Elephas maximus indicus: one gene and its partner. The protein of the gene in region 1 interacts with the protein of each later gene in a pairwise test. Links are inferred from orthologs where the notes say so. Each region holds a gene or a part of one and is shown on either strand. Other genes may lie near its edges.

Region 1 (3,750 bases):
TTAACTGTGTCCACTCCAGAGTCAGCATCTTTTTCCAGTTACACTCCATAATCCTATATAACCATTCATGAAATCTTCTTCCTCTCATTTGAAATTACCCTAAATCTATACTGGTAGAATGAATACTGATTTTCTTCACATACTGTTAAGAGGAATGGGATGAGGACTGAATCCCACTCCTCTTCTTTCCTTCCCTTCTCCCTACCCCTTGGTCAAACCAAAAGCCAAACCCATTGCTGTCGAGTCAATTCCCTATAGGGGCGCTATGAGTTGCTACCCCTTGGTAGTGACTTAAAAATACTAAAGTTTAGAAGGAGAAAAACAGGGAAACAACTTTATAAAAAGTACGTTAAAACCCAAGAGCTGACATTTGAGTTTTTTCCTATATGCTAAACACTGTTCTAATCATGTTACATGTAATTTCATATGATCTTCACAATAACCACGCTACTATGTATGACTATTATCCCTAGTTTAGAAATGAAGAAACTAAAGCACTCAGGTTAAGTGGCAGATCTTTTCCAGAGCCTTTTTATGTAACCACCACAATAGAGAATTCACTATTATATCAAACCTCTATATTATTCAGCAAAAAGAGACAACTACAAGATTACATGTGTCTCATTTGTGAGGAGATAACTTATTACTTACCTCACTAGTGAACATGGCACAGAAGTAATCACTACAAGCAGCCAGCACAATCCGATGGGCAGGGAAGTCTTTTTGCTCTACTCTCAATGTCACATCACAGAGGGTGTTGCTTTTCCTGAGGGAGTTCATTGAATTGAGGATGGATTTAGCATGAGTATTTGTCATTATGTCTTTGGGGGCCATAATGCCTCCCATTAAGCAATTTGGAGAAAGAACAAGAGTCGTCCTTGGATCCTACAACTAAAACAGAGGCAGACAGAGAGAGAAAAAAAAGAGCATATTTGAAAGACTGAAGGAAACCGAACATATTCAATTAACTTTAAAAATGAAGGAGCTAAGGGGAAGTTTCCTGAAACCGAACCCTCCACCAGTAGAGAGCACTCTTCCTCCTGGCATCACTGCCAAAACACAATCCGGCTACTACTTCAATTAAATGATCTTTTCTTTCTCTGAATTCCAATATCATTGAGTGCCCTTACCACTTGACATTATTATAATTAATACTAAACTGTATTGTAAGTAGAAAGATATTATACATGTCCTGCAGGTTTTCACAAAATCGTTGTCTCAAATGATAAAATTCCTTAAAGGTCTGATAACTACCAATATCCACAGGTAGATAAGATTTTAGAGACTGAGGATCCGGTTTTATAGTTCTGCTATCCTAGCAGGTACACAATAAACATTAATTGAATACAAGAAAAACTGTGTTCAACTTAGAGCAAGAATGGCCAGAGATGGTGAAAATGAACTTTTTCTAAAGAGTATGCAAAGAATTATTTATGAAGACCTCCAAATATATCTGGGTTTCTTATAATGAAACCTCAAATGAGAATCCAATGTCTACACTGCATAATGAAAACCATGCAAGCTACCTATGGGCTTTCAGTTGATTAATCAGTTGAAGCTGTTCAACAGAAGAGTCTGCCTACTCTATATTATTAGTAAATGTCCATCAACATTAAAAAATCAGTATGTGTACTTATTCTTCTATACCCAAAGAGCCTTATTAGAATTATAAACCTATCAGAACTCACTAGCTTTACTGGGATAGCTCATCACTTGCAAAGTTCACTGTATGCAGCTTAAGGAGTACTTTCTTGATTGTTGACAAGTTTTAGTCACACTTTTTTTTTCTTCTAGGGCAATTTCTAGGTAATGAAGTGGGATGGACTAAGACAGCTTATCTTTTTTGAAATCTGTAAGTTTCCGAAATGATCGGGGGGTGGGGGGTGGGGAAATCAATCAGTTGTCTTCCAGACACCACAACTCCCGACCATAACTTTTGCAGAGCAAAAACGAGCTCCTCACTACTTTCCTAAATTCTCATCTACTTCTGTTTATAGTTCGCATATAATTCTGTCAACACTAGATAATCCCTCTAATAGCTCTGCAAGATCCATTTCACAGAAAAGAAGGTGATGCGTCAAACGATGTTTTTAGAAGGATTTTCGTTTACTCAGTTTCAAATCTGGGGATATAAAAAAGGTCTGAACAAATGCCGATTTTATTGTGAAGATGGTGGGGCGGGCGGTTAGTCTATGACTGGGCTTATAGTTTTAGTGTAAAAATGACAATAACCCTAAAGCAGCGTGACCTTCCCTCTTTGGGATTCCTGTCCTTCAAGTTATCACCAGGGGAAGTCTCAGCCACATCCCTCACCCTCACCTTTCTGAGGTGACCTATTCTAGAACTTCCGTTAATATCTGAATAGAGAGGTTCCAACACGGGAGATTCGGGGAGGGGCTAAGTTCTGGCTATTCGAGGTGGGAGAAAAGAAAAGGAGGTCTCTTCCCCTGACAGCATCAGGAATAAGGCCGGCACCGTCAGGTGAGGTACCCAAGGGGCGCAGCTCAGGGCGGAGTTGAGAGGAGCGAGCTCGCTGCCAGAAGCCCCCAGTCTTCCTCCTCTCCAGGGCATCTCTCCCATTCCGCCTCGGAAGGAGACGACAGACGGGGGAAGGGCCAAATCCCGGAGCTGAGGGGTAGGAGGAAGAGGGCTGACTGCCGCCCCCTCCGCGCAACTCACCTCCGCTCCCGGGCCCACCCAATCGCTCCGGCCCGTCCCCCGCCCGTGGGGTGGAGTGGGGCGCGGGGCTAGCAGGCGGCTCAAGTGAAGCCGAACCGCCGCCGCCCCGACCCGGAGGCCCTGGAGCCGTCACTGTGATTGTCGCTGTTTTCGTCACCAGGTCCGCGCTAAGTGATGACGTATGCAGCTAAAGGCTCGGCCTCGTCCCACGGGGCTGCGTCACGTGAGGAGGCGGTATCACGTGACCTGAGTCTACCTGGATGTCCGCTTTCAGTGCGTTTGTTCTTCTGCTTGTTTGGTGCTGTGGAGCTGATTCGGACTCATAGCGACCCTATAGGATAGCGTAGAACTGCCACATGGGGTTTATTAGGCTATGATCTTTATAGGAGCAGATCGCTAGGTCCTTTTTCCCCCGTGGATTCTGCTGGTGGGTTTGAACCTCCTGCTTTTTCGATTAGCAGCCAAGCGCTTAACCATTCCGCTGTGAGGGCTCCTTCACTTTAGTGCATTAAAAAAAAAAAAAAAAAAACCGAACCCATTGCGGTGGAGTTGATTCCGACTCATAGCGACACTACAGTGCGTGTAGTGAAGGCGAAAAGGGAAAGGTGGGTGGGCGGGGTGTGGCAGGCAGGTGTGTGTGTGGAGTGGGGTGGGGGTTATGTACAGCTTTTCACTTTGGTGATTGCCGGAGGCTGAGCCCCTTCTTCCTAAGGTGCACAGGCAAGGACAACTGAGAGGATTCCAAAGATTTTTAAGCTCAGAATTTGATTGCAAACATACACATAGACCAACTTAACAGTTTCTACATGTACGGTTCACTGAAATTGATGATATTCTTTCAGTAGCACAGCCATTCTCAGCCCCCTTTTCTGAGTTATTCCTCCTTCATTAATATAAACTCAGTGCCCCCCCAAGTTTCTATCTAATCTTTCAAGATACTGTTGTCTATTTGTTCCCACAAAGATAGTTCTTAAAAGAGCATAATGCTCAAAGCAGACGTTTTTTTTTACTAGTTAAGCTAAACCGTTGTTCAGTTTTAAGGAGAATTCAGGGTACATTTTTGGTTTAAGG
Region 2 (3,750 bases), on another chromosome or scaffold:
CTACACATACTATATGGATGTACAGATCTTAAAAATATAATGCCGAATGGTAACAAGTGCATTATAGAAGATAACAGGGCAAATTAGTCTGCTATAAAGTACAAAAGTGAATAAATCTAAAAAAAAAAACAGGTTGTCTAGATGTACATAAATACTTTTTAAAATCATTTTTAAAAAGCAAGGGAATTATAAAGTTCAGATCAGTGATGACCTCTGGTGGGGGAAGGCAGGAGGCAAGGGCCAGGGAAGACACACGTGCGTGGCGTTACCAGCATGTGAGTACTGAGACTGTATGGCGGGGTCATGTCCTTATATGCAATACAGTGACAATAGATAAAGATAATTGAAGGAGATGGGGTAGATAAATGATAGATAGTAGATAGATGAATGATGGATGGATGGGTAGATAGACAGGCAGACAGACATATAGATGGCTATAGAGACAGACACATAAATAGATATAGAGACAGACAGAAACTGACTGACTGGAAGAAAAGGCCCCACCATCTGGTCTTCAGTGGTCAGTCTGCCTGTATAACAATGCAACACAGTCCTGGGATCAGATACACATTCCTAAAGCTGCTGTTGTCCTGAGTGTGTCATAGGTAACAGGCCAGAGAGCCCTCTGAGAAGGGAGTTGATGTCCAGCTCCCGAGGGATCCCCCCACCAACTCACCCTTCAAGCCCTTACCTGTCTCCCTCCAGCTCACAAGCATATTTCACAGCCGGGGACCAGTCATAGGCCCCTGGCTCCTTCTTCAGCCACTTTTCTAGCTCCTCCCGGTTGCGATCAGTTAAGTCTGAAAGGGTGATGTCTTGGAAGGACTCACAGGCGGCGAGCAATTGGTAGATGGTAGGGCCTGTGCCGATGTCGATCAGGGTGTCCCCTTTGAGGCCCCCTGAGGGAGGGGACGAGATGGCTGAGACTCGTCTGAGAGTCTGAGAGCTGAGGTAGTCTTTGAATGCTAGACCCTGCTAGGGGAAGGGGGATGGAGGTGAAAGAAATGGGGCCCAAGACAGATTTCGGGGCAAGGAGGAGTAGGTCCTAGTCCTGCTCAAGGGGAAAGCAGCCCCGATAATGACAGTGATCATGAATTGATGGTTTCCTACATGCCAAACGGAAAAAAAAAAAAAAAAAAACACCTGCCATGGAGTCGACTCTCACTCATGGCAAACCTGTGTCCGTCAGAGTGGAACTGTGTTCCACAGGATTTTCAAGGATGTATTTTTTAGAAATAGATCACCAGGGCTTTATTCCAAGGGGCCTCTGGGTAGGCTCAAACTTCCCGTCTTTTGGTTAGCAGCTGAGTGTGTTAACCCCGGGACTCTACATGCCAAACACAGTGCTATATATTTTATATTCATTTATTTCAATTTATACCTCAGAATCGCCCTGTGTAGGGACGGCTATTTTTATTTCCATTTTACTGATTAAAAAACTGAGTCTGAGAAAAGTTAAACAGTTAGCCTGATGACTTTCAGCCAAGATCGTTACCACAGTCCCTCCAGGCCCTGCTCTGGAGAAGATTCTGGCTGAAGCAGACAGAGAGGACATCTGGGGACAGTGACCCTAAGTTTGGCAGGAAGCTTCCCCTGATGTCCAGCCTGGCCTGGATGTGTTCCATTGGATGAGGTGCGGGGTGGGGAACTTGGCCAAGAACAGGAACCAGGGTTTTGAGAAGGACATGACCCAGAAAGGCAGCCGGGGTGAGCTGAAGGTCACCAAGAAGCTGGAATGAAGTGTAACTTCCAACATTCCACGTGGAGCCGGGCTTGAAAACATGGCTCCACTTGGGCTCAGAGCCCACCAGCCTGGTCTCTGATTTCTGCCTCCGCACTAGTCTGCACCACCAGGCTCAGCAGCTTCTTCACTCCTTCCTGCCCCCAGCCCAGAGCTGGCTCAGGAGATTCACTCTCACAGTCCCCAATCAAGTACCCAGAAGGAAGGTATGGCTAAATGAGCCCAGAGGCCAGGATTGAATCCCCATGTATGGTGGGGGTGGGGGAGGGCAATTCACTGGGAGGCCAGGGGCTACTATGTGTCCATTTTACAGGTAGTGTAATCAAGGCCCTTGGACGCTGAAGGCCTTACCAACAGGTTCATGACAGTGCTGAGACCCCGCAAAGCACTTCTGACTTTTCCAGATACTTGCCACAGCTGCATGTGGGCTCCACACTCTCGGGGTGGGGTGACTCTAACCCTGCTCAATCCTGCTGTCTGCCCTTGGCCTTCTCTGTTCTCAGAGACCTGGCTGTGGAAGGGCAGGGCTGGACTTGTGAGCTGGAAAGCCTTCCCTGTCCCACCTCAAAGACCTAGGAGCTAACAGGGGGTGGGGGGGCATTTTGGAAACTGCAAGATGCAGTACTCTCCCCTCACACACATCCCTCATCCCCTTCCCCCCCATGTCCCACGCATTCCCCTATCCCTGCTCTGTTTGAGCATGCAGCTCCTGGGCTGTGAGGAGACAGACCCCACATACACTTGCCCAAAGAGAGTGGAAGAGCCTGACCAGCTCCCTCTTCCCCAGCCCCTGCAGCCCCAGAGAAAACCAGGCTTCAACCCAGGCTGCTCTCCTGGGACTCCTTCTCCCTGTCCCTAGAAACCCAGGGAGAAGGACCGCCCCTCCACTCACCAGGACCAAAGGTCTTGTGGAGACACTCCAGGTTAAACTTGAGCACCTCGGCCTCAGGTGCTGGGCCACTGTTGAAGCTGCAGTAGGTGGCCAGGTATTCCCTGGGCAGGAAATTCTTCTGGTACTCATCTTCTCCCGTGAAGCTGCCCTCCATGGTGGCCCCTTGTGCTTGCACTGCTCCCGCCTGCCCAGGTTTATGAAGGCTCCGGATGCTCCAGGCTCCACCCCGGAACACTGCCCACCCCCTTGCTTCTCTCAGGCCAGCCTCTTCTTGAGCCACCCCGTCTGCAGTGGGTAGGAGAGACACACATTAACTGAAATTCCTCTAAACCCAGAGCCATCACAGCTAAGGCCACAGCTGCCCTAGCTTTACTTTTTCTAGGGACAGACCCACATCCCTTAGGATAATTGATGGTGCCCAGCCCTGGGTCCCACTCTCAACTCTGCCAGCCATGTGCTGTTGCTACATGACCTTGGGCAGGTGTCAAGCCTCAGTTTCCCCATCTGCTTGTACCCCTCACTGGCTGTGAGGGCTAAGATCACAACTGAGTTCATAGCGAGGTCACGTCTATATATATGTATGTAGAAAGAGAGGGGAAAGGAGAAAGAGTGCATATATATGTACAGAGGGAGATTTATTTTAAGGAAATGGCTCATGTAGTTATGTAACCTGGCAAGTCCCAAATCCATGAGTCAGGCATCAGGCTGGAGGCTTCTCCTGACTCATATGGTTGCAGGGGCTGGCAAACTCAAAATTGGCAAGTCAGATGGCAGGCTGCTGTCACACAGGGTTGCAGAAGCTGGAGAATTCCATAATCCACAGGTCAGACAGCAGGCTACTGGCTGATGTCTCCAACAACCAGAGGTCAGAGGATGACGAGTCGGTTGCAGGATCAAGAGAGAGTGAGCAAGAACATCCATATATATTGGATGTAGGCCACAACCCCAAAGAAACTTCGCTTTCAACTGATCGGCTCTTCACATCAGATCACAAAATGGAGAATGATTACATAATAGCTGTCAAGCCACTGAGAATCATGGCCTAGCCAAGTTGATACATACCTTAACCATCACAGATATGGAGGTACAATTGGAAGATGCACCCATTAACACTGAC

What was found. The genes of interacting proteins can lie anywhere in the genome.
Region 2: the proteins of KLHL12 (region 1) and INMT interact in binary tests that used the Homo sapiens proteins (3 or more experiments, as listed by UniProt). The two-hybrid records come from large-scale screens. The link is inferred for Elephas maximus indicus from reciprocal best matches to the Homo sapiens genes KLHL12 and INMT.

The regions. Positions count from the first base shown.
Region 1 is NC_064836.1:11,645,829-11,649,578, forward strand, and holds the start of KLHL12 (kelch-like protein 12), read right to left. Parts: upstream 2,839-3,750; 5' UTR 2,680-2,838; intron 892-2,679; 5' UTR 847-891; coding exon 652-846; intron 1-651. UniProt on the Homo sapiens protein: Substrate-specific adapter of a BCR (BTB-CUL3-RBX1) E3 ubiquitin ligase complex that acts as a negative regulator of Wnt signaling pathway and ER-Golgi transport.
Region 2 is NC_064826.1:92,136,704-92,140,453, reverse strand, and holds the start of INMT (indolethylamine N-methyltransferase), read right to left. Parts: upstream 2,788-3,750; coding exon 2,634-2,787; intron 900-2,633; coding exon 692-899; intron 1-691. UniProt on the Homo sapiens protein: Functions as a thioether S-methyltransferase and is active with a variety of thioethers and the corresponding selenium and tellurium compounds, including 3-methylthiopropionaldehyde, dimethyl selenide, dimethyl telluride, 2-methylthioethylamine, 2-methylthioethanol, methyl-n-propyl sulfide and diethyl sulfide.